Linked DNA regions of Drosophila melanogaster. The protein of the gene in region 3 interacts with the protein of the main gene of each other region in a pairwise test. Each region holds a gene or a part of one and is shown on either strand. Other genes may lie near its edges. The genes, in order: CG42342, Dcps and Rgl.

What was found.
Region 1: the proteins of Rgl (region 3) and CG42342 interact in a two-hybrid assay, tested with the Drosophila melanogaster proteins (one large-scale study listed by BioGRID).
Region 2: the proteins of Rgl (region 3) and Dcps interact in a two-hybrid assay, tested with the Drosophila melanogaster proteins (one large-scale study listed by BioGRID).

What each region holds. Positions count from the first base shown.
Region 1 is NT_033777.3:16,500,398-16,506,200, reverse strand, and holds the start of CG42342 (uncharacterized protein), read right to left. Parts: upstream 3,432-5,803; 5' UTR 3,030-3,431; intron 1-3,029. Other genes in the region: Decay (death executioner caspase related to Apopain/Yama), read left to right, coding at 5,198-5,528.
Region 2 is NT_033777.3:5,751,971-5,756,289, forward strand, and holds Dcps (decapping enzyme, scavenger), read right to left. Parts: upstream 2,805-4,319; 5' UTR 2,708-2,804; coding exon 2,539-2,707; intron 2,478-2,538; coding exon 2,331-2,477; intron 2,270-2,330; coding exon 1,461-2,269; 3' UTR 1,348-1,460; downstream 1-1,347. Other genes in the region: Sec8 (secretory 8), read right to left, coding at 3,188-3,364, 3,433-3,639, 3,694-4,297.
Region 3 is NT_037436.4:13,916,351-13,922,181, reverse strand, and holds the start of Rgl (Ral guanine nucleotide dissociation stimulator-like), read left to right. Parts: upstream 1-2,216; 5' UTR 2,217-2,988; coding exon 2,989-2,991; intron 2,992-5,831.

The DNA.
Region 1 (5,803 bases), on a different chromosome or scaffold from region 3:
TTTCTTCATACGTTTTAAAGCAGGAATATTAGAATAATGACTAAATTAGTTATCCCTTTTCAATGAGGTTGTGCTCATTTCAAAACCCGATTTTCCAGGTATTATTTCATATTTGGACAGATTAAATGTTTGACTACTTGCATGAACAATAATTTGAACATCTCATCTTATGAAGACGATATTTATCGTTACCCTGAACTAATTTCCAAACCGGTATAAATGAATATGCTGCCGAATAGAAGCATTAAAGATGTAAGAAAATTATGATAAATATGGAATAACTAAATAAACAAAACATGCATAAAATATTGCATCTATCTATAGATCTCTAAATGAAATAGTATAGGTGTTTATAAGCTACTTTCCTATAGTTTTTCGTGCAAGTTATTTATACATTTTAAACAGTATAATTGAAAGAACCTTTCTACCCAATAAATTCTCTAGTTTTAAATTTTGAACAACAAACATATACATTTTTAAGGGCATATCAACTTCAGTGTTTCGAATCTAACAAACTTTGTCATGTTTCCTTTTTGGTTGGTCTGCCTGTCTCCCTTTTTTAGCGCTGATGTCTCACAAATTATATAATTAAGTTAAAGTGAGCGGCGGCGGGCAATTTACGAACAGCTCCATCGGCTCCCAGCCGGCAGCTCCAACTCGCCACTCGATGCCTGGATGGGGGATGGGGAATGGGGCATCCGACTGGGTAATGGGTAATGGGTAATGGTTAGAGGGTACTGGATAGTGGATACTGGGTGTACGCTAATTTCTTAATTCTCACCTTCCGCTCGCAGGGCGGACGTGGACCATTCCCGTGTGAAGGCAGTGGCAGCCCCAAAAATAGCATTTCCGTATTGCCATGTCTATCATGACTTTTATTGTTGAATGAACCCTCCGGACTGGCGGCTGGCACGCTAGCAATAGTCCGAGTGCCCATCCGATTCCCGGTCGGTCCAGGTCCAGAGCCATGCCCACCAGTCCCTTCACCCGCCCCCTTTTTTCGACGAATCCCCCATTTCGGCTGATTGCTGTTCATTCGCGCGTTAAATGTGGACGGTTCGAAGCGGAGTGGATGCTGCTGCTGATGCTTTTGAAAGTGAATGCCCCATCCCGTTGCCATTCCAGTCCAGTCCAACCCCTTTTCGCCCCCCAAACTACTGATGTATTTTCCTGGACTATTCTTTGATTCTACTATATATCTCTCGCCCCGGCTCACTGGGCGTTTAGTGTTCAATTTAGCGTCATAATTTCGTTTATTGCATGGCCTGGTCCCCAGTTCCAAAATCTTCGGCTCTGCTGTCAAGTGTTTTTGTTGAGTTCATCAAAATTGTCGCTGGCCAACGATGACAACCACTTAACGCAATTTTCAGTGCTGAAAAGAGGCGAGAGCATCACTGCTGCCACTGGCAGCTCCACTCGAGAGTCATTCATTCATTCGTTCAAGCCGCTCCTAAGCATCCATTCATGTCGTCATTCAGCCATTCACTCACTCGCTCATTTCACACCATTTACAGTTACAATTAATGTTTGTGTTTGCCTGTCTCCCGCATTTTTCGCCACCCACCCTCCCTCAACAGAAGACGAAAAGTAAGAACATCAAAGGGCTCGCCGAAAAATAAGGAGAAGTCACCCATCAAATGCCACCCAATCTTATCTTAAAGCTACAAAAGCTTGCATATTTAATAATTGCTCAGCTGAAGTTCATAAAACCGGGTAAGAGCACCCCTCCAGGGATTTTGGCCAAAAGGTGCCCCAGGGGAATGAATGCCCCGACTGGAAAAGGGTCGAGGGATAAGCAGCCAAAAGCGCAACCTTAGCCCGCTCATAAATGAATGTTTCTGCTACAGAATTTACACCTCCACTTTGGAGGATGGGGCAGCTGGAGCATCGTGCGGCATGACTGGCGTGCCTCTGGCCCACCAGCGGCATTCCCATAAAGTATCTTGAATATTTCAGGTGTGCTCGCAATTTAAGGGCCTGCGTCGCATTCAGCTGCGGGTTCATTAGATGTCCACTGCAACTTCATTTGCAGGGGCGCAAAAAAAAGAAGCCACAAATCTTCGCCGCCTTTTACCTTGCCAGCTGGTTGGTTGCCAACTTAATGTCGGTATACCTTGGATTTCAGTCTATATACATGGGCAAAGATAAATCGGTAAAGAAGAATACCTATCGAAGATGTTTATACATCACGTTATTATCACATATAAGCTAATCCAATTGGTGACTGTATCTTGCTTAAGTCTTAAGTTATCGAGTTTCACGTTAACAACTCGCAGAACTCCTAAGTAGAAGTCTTAATTAGCTAACATAGAAATTGCATAGAAATTCATAATAAAGTTTCATTTCATATACACCTTTTAAAGGTATTTTATCCAAGAGATCAGCAAACAGGTGCATAGGAATCCACTTAAAAAACTTAATTGAATATTATGGCACCCAAATACCCAAAGTTTTTTTTTTGACACAGAGCCTAATGAAATCCAAGTACCCGGTATTCCAATAACCGTAGCACCCAACTTTTGGCATCCCAACTTGTTGTTATGGTTTTTTATGCTGCTGTTATTTTTTTGGCTGCAGAGGCTTAGCCTGTGACGACGTCAGAATTTCAATGTTTTTTTTCTTAGTTCTATTTTGTTTCTGCCAAGCCTGTTAATCTATTTTTTATGCGCTTTGCGAGGGCATTCGCCTAAAAGCTAGCCGAGCATTTTTTTTCGTGTTTTTGTTCCTTTCGGCGGCCTGTTGGTTTTCTGCTTTTGATTTGATTTCGTTTTCATTTCGCAGTGTGGCTATGTTTTCCCTCTCTGCATGTACGTACATATGTACGTGTGTGTGTGTGGTTTGCTTTTGGAAGCAGCCCCGAAAAAAAAGGTTTTTGTTTCTTTTGTCCTCCGGACCAGCCACCCTAATTTGTTGTTGTTTTTTGTTTGTCAACCTTTTTGCATACAAAGCGCACGCACACGTCTTAAATGAGATTTAATGCACCCCGCTTATTATAATCAAACAGTTTGTTTGGTTCACCTTCTACGTACCATACTTTTTTCCACTTTTTGCGCTCCGCTAACTCTTTATGTTCGCCTTTTCCACGCTTGCTGTTTCGTGCCGCTTCCTTTTCACTGCACCTTCTTACTGATTTGGTGGGGCACTTAACATAATTTAATTTCGGCAACTATAAATTACAACTCCTTGCACTTGGCACACATTCAACACTGAAGTTGTTTTTGTTGCTCAAAACATTCTGGCTCCTTCTTTCTATTTTCTTCTATCGCCCGCTTATCCTTATGTAAAGGACAACGGAAAGGTTGCGGGGGAAGAACACACGCCCGGAGGATAGGAGCCCGAGACCCTCAGAAATGCGAATTTTACCGATTTCCCGAATTTTTGTCCGACACGTAAACACGTCCGCACTGGGCAACATATACAACGCTTTTGGCGTCGCTGTTTTGGTTTTGAATTCGGTTTCAGCTCGAGCGGGTTCATGTTCGAAGCGAGCAAGTTCGAGTTCGTATCGAACTTAAGAGAGCCAACTAAAAGAGTGGGCTAAGAGTTTAAGGAACTGTTTATATATGTTATATGTCTAATTGGAAATTCATTGGCAGCAATTTATTAAAATAGTAAAAGTAATTTGTCATTTCTTGAAAAAAACAACTAAATTTGTTACAAATAATTATTGTTGTAAGGTAAAAAAAGAAGAAAGACGGAGAAAGCAGCAAAAAAACACGATCAACCGGTGGGAGTAAGTATACTGCACTTACAGAAATGACCTCAGAATTACGTAGTTATAGTGTTTAAATTACTTAATTACTACAAATATAAGCAGAAGCACTAATTGCGAGTTTTGTAAATAAATTGATTGATTTCAATATACCTATGTAATAAGTTTACTACATTATTTCTGTAAATTAAACTGTTTTAATGTAGTTAATAACAAAGGTATTAAAAAAACTTTAGGTGTCAAATTTCAATGTATGTATGTATGTACATACATATTTACATCCCCGGGAACCTACAATTTAAAAAGATAAGAAACGGGAATGCATAAATTTCAGGTGAAACTTTGCATTGTTATTCCATAAAAGTGCGTCAGATAAATCATTTCATTTTGAGCATTCAGCAGCAAGTGCATTTTCGGAATCCCGCCCCAATAAATCTCTCCTTTCTCTTCACCTTTTGGAGCTGCAAGATAAGAGCAGATTTCAGGTCACTGGAGGGGCAACATCTGCTTTCGGTGGAAGGCACCTCGAGAATCAAAGGCGATTGTTCTGGTTCTGAAAAGCCGGCTAAACAACTTTCCTGCTCCCCCACCCACTGTTCTTCATTTTCTTTTTTTGGCTCTTCAGCTGACAGAAATATTGATGTCGCTAATTGTAATTACATATCAATTATAATTGGCATCCAATCAGGGTCGTAGGAGCAGCTTTATTAATTAGCCGCAATTGTTGTTATGCGCCACAAGTTTCCAGCTCTCTCTTATGTTTCTCTCTCTTAAGCGCTGAGGTACATTTTTTGGCTGCACCGCAATAAAAGATTTCTTTATATTGTTGTAATTTAAAGTGAAATTGAAACTAACTTAACTTTGACATATTGTTTTTATATCACATTAAAATGCCCGTAGCTAACTGTTCGAATATTACACAATAAATTACTAAATCGTATAGAACTTTCTCTCAGTCTGCGGTACACTTTATAACGGTACTCCTTCGACTTAAGGACGCCATACTCATTTCCGGTTTCCGTTACTTTGTGTGCGTGAAATTTTGAATTGCGTGGCAAAGTTTGCCGCCCATTGCCGCTTTTTTGCGCATCTGAATTTTATTGAAAACACATTAAGAAATCCCCAGTAGCAGCGACACTTTCGCCGGAAGTTGCCAATTTCCCTGACGAGCGCCCACTTTTGTGGGCGTGAACCCGTCGGGGAAATCAAATTGTCTGGTGCAATGGCAAAGGGAATTGTATTTTGCTACCAATAAACGTAACTTCCCCTCGAGCAGGCTAATCAACGTTGGGCAAGAGCCCGAAAAATACCGCGGCGAGCGAGAGAAGAATCCACCCCAGCAAGCTCAAGGTGATAAGACGGCTGCATTGATTAGATAAGATGTTAGGCGAACGGGAGCGAGAGCTTTTTTTTGTCGTTTGATAGGTGAAAACTTCCAATCGCGCTTAGTCACAGGTTGCTGCCAAAGCGCGCGGACGGTCAGAAATGGACGACACCGACTTCTCGCTCTTCGGGCAGAAGAACAAGCACAAGAAGGACAAGGCGGATGCCACCAAGATCGCCCATACGCCCACATCGGAGCTGGACCTCAAAAGGATCATAATCTCGCGCCCCACCAACGAGGACACATACGAGAATTGCGCGCGAGCGGGCATTGCGCTAATCCTGAACCACAAGGATGTCAAGGGACAGAAGCAGCGCGTGGGCACCGAACGGGATCGCGATGACATGGAGGCGACGCTGCAGGGATTCGGATTCGATGTACGCACCTTCGACGATCTGACCTTCTCCGAGATCAACGACACGCTCAAAGAGGGTGAGTTATCCACGAGTTCTATTGTTGCAACAAATGGCAGACAAAAACACAGAACCATACATATGTACTCAAAGTTAAGTTATCTACCAACGGAATCAAGTTTATTTTCGTATTCCACCGTAAATACGAGGTAATGTCTTTCTTTACGAGTAGTAAAATATATTTACTCCCTTGTTAAACAAAAGAGAAAACATTTAATATGCAACTTAAAAATCAATGTGATAGTCATCAAAATCTAGCTGCACTCAATCGTGTCCATCGAAACTGGTGACATA
Region 2 (4,319 bases), on a different chromosome or scaffold from region 3:
ATCGAGTCAACCCCCCAACTCGTCCGTTCATTACAACAGGAGTTGACTACACTGGTGCGATTGAACTTCAAGCCGCGCGTGTACGAGGATCAACCACCTACAAAGGCTATGTAGCCATTTTTATATGCTTAGCAACCAAGGCGGTCCACTTGGAAGCCGTCACTGGACTTTCAACAGAGCACTTCCTGCAAGCATTTACGCGATTCACCGGACGTCGAGGACAAGTTCAACATATGTATAGTGATAACGGCACAAATTTTGTTGGCGCGAGTACATCGCTTAACCAGCCCATCACTTGCAAGGCAGCCCTAAACGAATCGACATGTCAACATGGGACAAGGTGGCATTTCACACCTCCATATTCTCCCAATTTTGGTGGCATCTGGGAGGCAAACGTGAAAGCAATGAAGCATCATCTTAAACGGATCGTCGGCAGCCACAAGCAGACGTATGAGGAGCTTACTACAGTTTTGATCAGGATTGAAGCATGTTTGAACTCACGTCCACTTTGCCCGCTAACCGCCGACCCTGACGATTTAGAAGTACTAACTCCAGCACATTTCTTAATTGGTGACGCACTACTGGCACCGCCACAAGGTCGGCCGAATAATAAGCCTTTGCGTGAACTATTTCTCGCACAACAACACATGACGCGACAATTCTGGTCTCAATGGTCTCGTGATTGGTTATCACACTTGCAAACTCGGCCAAAGTGGTGCCAAATCAAAGATAATCTTAACATCAACGACTTAGTCATTATAAAGGATGATAATCTACCACCAGCTAAATGGACTATAGGCCGAGTCGTCGAACTGCACCCTGGATCGGACTCGCTAGTCAGAGTGGTTACATTAAAGACGAAATCTGGCATTCAAAAGAGGTCAATCACAAAGCTTTGTCCACTTCCGATTTCAACATAATTATGATCAACACACGGATCAAGAATCACAAGGAGCCTTCATGCTGGACGACGCATTGGCGGGCGGCATGTACGGATTATGAGCGGAGTCACCCGGTGCTTCAGCTGTCTTAACAGCGGATTAACATTTTATATATCGATGCTAATTGAACTGAACTGTATTCTTTCTTTCGCTCTTGTAATTTTGCGGTCATAGCGATCAGACGTGATTTTTGTATATGAAAAAATAAATGAAGTTAAATAGTGTATATATGATTCTTATTTGCGAACCCCATTACAATGATGTCAAAGCAGTGAGGCATCACAACTATTCACGAGGTACTCAGAATTCAATCGTTTTCTCTTAAGCGACTGTTTTTAAATGTGTGAAACGAAAAGAAATATTCTGAATATTTTATAACAATTAATAATGTGTACTTCCAGCAAGTGCTCTCAAACGAAATTTTTGAAAATAACTTTATTTTGAATTGAATGATCATAAGTAGGATGTATTTTTGATAGGCAACATCTAGGGTTAGCTTTCTCATTAAGTAATACCAGTTTAGGCACACGCCTGAACAGCGGACTCGGCCTCCTTGGGCTCCGGCGAGCCCAACTTTATGCGCTTGCACTGCCTCTCCTCCGGCTCCTCATCGCTAAAGCCTTCCGGTGGAGCGACGTTCAAAGAGTCTGAGTCAGGGAGCTCCTTATCGTCGCTCGATACTGTCAGCGCTCTAATGGGTAGCTCCTGCTCATAGAGATCCAACAGCTTATTGCCTTCGTACAGGACAAACGGCAAGGTGGCTCGCTGATAGTAGTCCGGCATCAGCTCCAAGTTGTTGATCACCGTGTCCAGCATGTGGGACTTCTCGCACCATATGCCCGGTGCATCGTTCCGTACTGGATTGATGTGCACGTGGAGGTGATAGAAGGACGGCTGGTAATGAAAGTACATGCGCAGCTGATTGGGATTAATGCCGTATAGCTTGGCAATTGCGTCCTTCGACGCTTGGCGCACGTTGCGCAAAAGATCGAGATGACTTTCATTCAAGTCGCGCAGAGACTTGATGTCGCGCTTGTGGACAATTCCCAGCAGATAGAGGGTTTCCACATTGCGTCCGTCCCATTTGAGATCGGGCAGAAGGATAAAGCCAGTCTTTGGATCCCTGTCCTCGTACACGATACGTTCCGTCTCCTGCTTATGCTCGAGTATGTTGTAGACCCACTCGAGGGAGAATTGACTTGAGGTGAGATATGGAAGAGTTATTCTTTGGTAGAGATCAGGAGTCTCCCGGATGAGATACTTTTGAGATACTGAGTATTTCTCGATGTGCTTCTCGGTGGCGGGATAAATGACTGTGCTTTTCACACCTGCGAAATGAATGATAAAAATCTATGATTTATCAGTATGAATTATGAATCTAATATTTACTGCACAAATCCTGGGTCGGCACAACCTGAAAACTGCCGTAGATATTGTTGATAAACTCAGTGTCAACTTTCAGGTCCGCGGTAAAATAGCTAGGCTTCTTGGGAGACTCTTCTGATGACGCCGTGGCCACATCGCTTTCCCGGTACGCTGCGGTTAGTAAGGATTATACTGTAGCGAACATTAGTTGCTTTCATTTACGCTTTTATACCATTTTTCTCGAAAACAACAATGGCATCATCGGTTCCTAAATCCGGAAAAGTGCCAAGCAGGGATATACTTTTCCTAACGCTGTTGTTGGTTAGGATTCGCTTCAGTTGGAACTTGGATAAGTCGTACGACGGCGACTTTACCTCTGTGCTATCAACTGTTTCCGACATTTTTGTTAATAATAACAACAATAATAATAGCTAGAAAGATATATTTATTTTTATTTTCTTGCGGCTTTTCAGAGAGGCAGCGTGACCATGACTGGGCTGCACGAAAATTCCATACTCATTTCGTAAGTCCATTTAGCGAGCACTCAAACCCTGTTAAATAACATTGCTGAAACGGTTTAGCAACCGGTTGAGTTGAAAAAATGTTAAAATTAGATACACTAGATGCAGCAAATTAATACAGTCAAAACATCGTTGTTGAATTCTCATTTATTGTGTATAGGCCATTGAAGTACTGTTAATGATCTTTAGAATATGTATCTTTACAAACGGCTACAACACTAAGTGCTCGCCAATCATGTTCAGAACATTCGCAATTATTTTGAGCTTAACACTAACATACAATTTGCACTTACACCTGCAGCCGATGTAAACAAAAGTATGGATATTAAAATTGGTTTTACCCGCCGCCTGCCACGCTAACTACACAACTACTCCCTTCGAGGGCTTGGCGCCTAGTATGTCCGACAGCTTCTGCTGATAGGAAGCGAGGAGATTGGCGTCGGTTATGCCGAAGGACTTGCAGGACAACTGCAAGGCATTGAGCAGCTGCATTTCCGAGAACTGAGTGCCCCGCTCCAGCAACGCATTGAGTATTTCCTGTGGGTAAGTGCAAAGTGTTTCTAAGTAAAAAGGTGAATTACAAAACTTGGGCCAATCACTCTTACGTCTGGCTCCATGCAAAGCAGCTCATAGAAGTGTCTCGCCTGATCCAAAGCCACTTCCCTGGAGGCAGTTATGTTACTCAATGTTTGCTGCAGGGCAATCGCGTTCCTGCACATGCGCTGCACGGTTATTTGATCTATGTGCTCCAGATAATTGGAGGCCTGGATAAGAATGCGCGATGCCAAGTGCGCCAGACCCTCGAAAATGTACTAGAGAAGAATACGTTCGAGCAAAATGCAACTGGAGACGAATATTCAACTTACCCTGGTCTTCCTCGGATGTAGAGTGGCACTAAACGCCTCATCCATCTCAGACAGTCGTTTGGTCAGAACTTGCACCTGGCGGTCGGGCTCCAAGATATCATCCTTGGAGCCCACATAGCTGTTGGTCCTTACACTCGACTTCGAGCGCAGATAGTGGAAGCATTGAACGCGCACCTCCAGATGCAATACCAGCAGGCAGGTGTTCGCCAGCTCATCAAACTCCAAAGCCAGATTAGTCATCACTTTGATCGTCCCATCCTTCACAGCAATGTCGGCGCCGCACTCAGCTGGAACGGCGTTAAGTCCGTTTACCAACGGCCGGCGTAAGTCGTTGGCAAATTCCGACACTCGGCACGAAAACCACTCCATGCTCTCCTGCAGTATGGCCAGCTCCTTAAGCACACTGATCTCGACCAAAATCTCTTGTTGGGTGATCCCACCCTCGCCTAAATTACTGGTCAGCATTTCAGCCTCGCGGATGTTGCGCTGCTGAACCTGCAACGGGCTCTCCTCCTCCGACGGCTCAAAGCTTCCGCGATGCAGTTTTCGGTTGTGGCGCGACTTCTGACTGTAGGTCTTTAAATCAGTCCAGTTGGGAAGCGTTCTAAATAGTGAAGAAACTATAA
Region 3 (5,831 bases):
TTTTTTCAACTTTTATTGACCGTTTCATTTACGGGCTACTGCTACTGTCGCACTTTCCATTGAGTTGAAATGGTTTTCACCCGAATGCTTTGTCGCTTTCTTGCAGTTTGGTAACGAAATGGAAAAGAAAACTTGAAATTTGTGTCGATCCGATTGCAAGTTTGGTCGCGTATCTTGCAGATACATCCGCTTGGCCGAGTGAATTGCACAACCCAAATGAAAATAAATAAGTAAACGCGTTACACGTGTCCGCCCAAAGAGTGTGTGCTTTCGAGTCATTGTTCGTCGTTAGCTGTGCCAAGCCAAAATGCGCGTATCCGACAGATACCAGTCATCATCACAATTATCATCAGCATCTACAACACCACCATCGGAAATTGCATCGCACCAGATTTTGAGCAGCACGCACCTTGAAGTAATTGCAGCATCTGGCCATCGTCAACGCTGCAGACTATAATGAGTCAAAATGTGGCCGACAGTTTGGTGAGTAGCTAAACCATTATCTTGTTCATGTACTCTAGTATATAGCAAGCGTAGAAAGTAACAGGGAAATGCATAGAAAGTCATTTTGAAAGTATCTCGCAGAGCACCGAACTTTGTGTGGAGGCTTTTTGCCCAGGTCTGCTAATTATTTGGTCAAATAGTCCGTAGACTAAGTTAATGAAAAATATGTTGCAACATTTTGATTAGAGTGGTGCCGAAAAATCGAATTAAAGAAATTTATAATTTATAATTTAATTTATAATTTTTGTGATATTTATTATCACGATCACAACACAAGAGCGGTTTTTTCGTATGACTAAAGTTTTGGAGCACAACATTTTTCATCTAAATATATATTATGACGTTTACGTTTTAAAATATTATTCTCCATACTTTCTGATAGGGAGAACAGCAATAATTTTAAATAAATTTACTATAGCTTTAAACCGTATTATTTTGACACCAACATCATGAAGCACATTGAGGGTCAATCTTTAATTGATCTCTTTTTCTAGCTTTATATAAAATTCGTTATCAGCATCACCAAGTGCATAACAAATATCAGTGCCTTTTTTTGTATTGAAACTTGTTGCATTCGCTAATTGATCAATTGACGTGCTCATGGTCTCGAATATTTATCCAATGTCTACAAGCAACAAACAAAACAGCAGGCATCGTTTGATTGGCGCTTACGTAAATGCACGTTTTATTAATATTTCTGCTTATTGATTTCCCCGCCAGCTTTCTTTAAATCGTTACCAAATACCAGACAACACTCAGGTATTCCCATTTCCATAATTATGTCATTCCAGTTCACATGTTTGAACGGTTGGTCAAATGATAGCCTAAAAAGCCAAACAAAACATGGAAGAAAATTATTTAAATTTCTTTGTTGGCATTAATCAAAAATTTGGAATAAAATCCTACAGGTTTAGGAGGCCCATAAATTCCATTGATAAATGTGAAGCTATAATGAAGACAAATGCTATTGTGGGGGTCAGTGTAAATATATACCAAAAAATACTAAAATTGACAGAGAGAGTTGAGAGAGAGTTCTGATTAGAAACAAACAAGCCAACAGTCAATTGCTCATCAGAAAAAACATAAACAGAGCGCGAATGGCCAGAGCAAGTAAGATTTTTATGTTTGTTCTGATACGACATATATATACCGTGTATTTATTTTAAGAAACTTATTTATTTATATTTAGCGTGTCAACAGTCACTAGGAAGAAGTTTTAAAGAAATTTGTTTAAATTGATTTAAAAGGCCAAGTTACCATAGTGCAAAAGAAATAAAATCAATTACCAATTCAATGGTAAATTGACAGTTTATCTGGAAAAAGTTCTATTTTAAGTTTATTGACTATAAATTGTGAGAATATGTAGGTGTTTTAAATTCGGAACCAATATTGGAATGCATTGTTAATGTTAACTGTGTTTTTGAACTTGTTCGATGCAACCAATATACCTTCACGCAAGGTGTAAAACCATAGTGGGTGTTTTGCTAGAAGTTCCCACGGTCGAAAACTTGAGTACCTGAGAAAAGCGAACGAGAGAGTGCAATTGAGAGAACGGGGATGCTACAGTTACATCCGTCGAGTAAGAACATCCCCCGAAAATGCTTGCGTTCTTAATGACAGAGAGTGGATCCCCGACAGAGAGAGCGTGTGGGAGAGAGTAAGCGAGAGTTGGATACAGACGATGGGGTTTCGGGCGGTCGTTTGTTCTAAGCGGGCAGAGTTCGTCTTCGACTGTTGTTGGCGGCGGTTGCGTCGCGTGTCTCTCTACCGAGAGCTTTGTGTGTGTGTCTCGCGCGCGTTTTACGCTCTGCGCCCCCTACGCTCCCCTTTTCCAAGTAGAGAAACCCCCGAATGTGAATTTTGTATAATGTTTTTGTAATAACATGGATATCTCATGTTGAGATTTTCAGCCAAGCGAATGAAAATGCAAGCGGTATCCCGAAAATTGCCGTTTACGTGTGTGCGAGTGCAGCATTAGCAAAAGGAAAAGAGATAAAAGTGAAAACAAATAAATAGTAGGGAAGACGTGCTAAAGCACGAGAGCAAAGAGGAGATTGCCAGGCAGACGCATAGACGTAGTGCAACGAACCCTTCTTCGCGGACCAAGGATTCACCACTTACCACTAACCGGAGAACAAATACCAATATTAACCCCCCCACCTCTACTGCTACTGGGTGTGTTTCTCTATGTCCCGTTGACTCATCGTTCCCAGGAAGCTGAACAACGGTATAGCGGCCAGAACACAGAAGCCCAGTACAAAAAAAGAGCAGCAGGAATATCGATTTTACTTGCCTTTTACTTATACAACACCCCCACCACCCATTGAACTGCACTTGGGTGTAAAAATAAAACACCAGAAGCCATTAAAGGAGACGTGTAAATTAAAGCGAACCGACGAGAAGAGGATAACGGATAGGAAAACCCAAGCAGTGCATCCGTGGAAATCTCAGCAACATTTCTCAAGGAACAAAAGCCAATCTCAAATGGTAAAAAAAAACAACGCAATCCATCAGGCCGGATTAGAAAGGAGCGCACTTTAGATCTATTGGTTCTTATCCTGCCCTTACAGTGGTCACTCGAACGTTGATACATTGAAATGTTTTTTTTTAACAATATATTTAAAACAAGTACATCATATTTCTGCAATAAGCAATACATCGGTAACAAACTCCTGATAAGATAAAAACATTAATGGCTTGAATTTTATTACTATTGACCCTCGCCCTTAAATCAACGACATGGATAATTATCGATAATGCGCACCTTTTTTTGTCCGAGAATTTTCAACCCTGAAAACTAGTTGCTGTGTACTTGATCTGGTTTTGTGTGGAGAGGGATTACTGTAGTGTCTTGGTGTCGATTCACAAGGAAATGTCAACAATGATTATGGGCAAAAATGCAATGGTATGGAAACTTTACGCCTAAGTGGAGTCCAGAAATAAAACACCTTCTTTTGGTGGGGAAGGAATAGGAATCGATAAAAGTCGGGAATTTTTTACAAGTTATAAATGAATCATATGGGAACTGCCAAGCTTGGAGAAGCTTTGTTTTGGGAGTTTCGAGAATTTATATGCTAATTAAAAAGCATTCAAAATTGGTATACTTATGCTTGGGAACAAATGGTGTAGGGTATTCTTAAGTGATGTATATAATTTGTTTCGCAGGTGAAAGATAACGAATTAAAGCTATGAATTTAAAGGTGAATCAGTTTGAGATCATTTCAGTTGCAGTCCCAGTTATATTTTCGTTTCTTTATCATCCATTTATGCGGAGTGCCCCTAGAAATCATTTATCAGCTCCCATTGTATGCAAAACAAAAGCTCCGCCCCCCACTTCCTTTACCCACTGGCGAATGATGGGGGAATGCATAAAAAAAATAATTTACGTGGGGAGCTATGCTCAGTGGCTCAAACTTTAGCTTAGGTTGATATGTTTTTGTATTGTTTGCACATCATCTCTGCTGCTGCCCAACGGATGTGGTTTGATAATAGCCGAAAGAGCGGGACAGCTGCTCTGCAGTAGAGACAGATACATATGTACATATACACGTTAAATAAAAGTTTTATTCGGATATGAATTATGGTTTTTGAAATTAAAAATTGCAACAGGATGTGGCATCGGTTGATATTCGTTATGTTGTAATATAGCGAAAAGGAGACATTAGGGATAGAATATCGAATGCCAAGTAATGCCTGTTCTATTATTTCTCATAAACACAAACGATGTAAAATCTTGATGGACCTGTGTTAGTAGGCCGATGCAATTAAATTTGATCATAATTCCCTTCATTTTTTTTTATGTGCACCGAGGGAGCAGCAAATGTTGTCAAGTTGACTGCGTCGGATGCAGTCGCATGTAACTGACAGTCAGTCAGAGTCATTTAGCCAGTCAGTCATTTAGTCAGTCAGTCATTCAGGGATGACAGAGGGAAGGGGGAGAGACTGGTGTTTAGTTTCAGTCGTTTTTTTCCCTTGGCGTTTTCAATTTTGTTTTGCGTTGTTTTTTTTTTGCCGCTGCTTCTGTTGCTGCAATTCACAAAACTCGTGCCAGGGGTCGTCGATTTAAAAATAGAGATTTGTGTCTACAATTGCGGTCAAAATAAATGCCTTTTCATTTTTCAAGACAAGCGAAATGTATTGCTTATTTCGGACACCTAATCTATTGCCGCCAAGAACTAGGAAATTCTCAAAGAACTGTTTTTACATCGATACAAATTGCAATACTTTTACCTATAAATCGAATATCTCAAACGGAATACTATTTTACTATCTCAGAGTCATGTTTCATCATTTAAATATTGATCCATTTCCTTAGATGTATTTTCACTTTTAATCTATCAATATTGTGACCTCAGCTGTATGGCTGTTTGTTGATAAATTCACCCCAAATGCAAATGCAGTACCATTTCGCTTTGATGTTGCGGTTCGACTCTCCTTTGTTTTGGTTTCTGGCTATTTTTGCGAAGATCTGTAATTGAGAGAAACCCCCCCTGGGCGGAAAAGCAGAAAACGCCACCCACACGCTTTTCTGGAGGAAAGGTCACCTGCTTTATATATAGACAGATGATGATGTGGGCCGACCAATCAGGCGCCCCCTCATACTTGGATGTTATTTCTTTATAATTGGGTGCCTTGTATACACAAACACGAATATGTTTGACAATTGCCCGTCGTCTGGCATTATAATACTATATTATTTCATTACTTAATGAGCTTTATTTCTGCCGCAGTTTTTTTTGCACGGGCTGGGTATTTTCTGATGAATCATTCGAACTCAAAAGGTAAAATATCAACCGTATGCAAATCGTCATTTCCTCGCCGAGTTGTGTTCTGTTTCATTCGGTCTCGTTTGGCATTCGCTGTAATAATAATCGTGAATGAAATGAGTGTATTTAGGTTCTGGGGCTTGGTACGAATCGAATGCAATACATATATGTGCATATTGATTAGACGAAGGAATCTCAAACAAAAAGATTTCTATAAGTATGCGCATTGCGCATATTTACAAACATATATGAATATGTACATACATACATATATGGGTCTGGGTTGTTTGGCCTGGAGCTTTGAAGGATTTATTCTAATCAGTTTTCGGTTCAAAGTGTAACTTGGAGAAGCTTTCTTATATTTGCGAAATAAGCAAGCATATTTCTTATCGCCAGCAGCGCAGTGCTAACTAAATATTACATCATAAATAATATGCAATATTCTGGCTAATCATTACTAAGTTCTGTTCAAGCTTAATTGTTAAGCTGGGAAATTTCGAATTAGAAATTTTTCTATTGTTTGGAGTATTTAAGCAAATTAAATGAGGCATTTAAAATTAG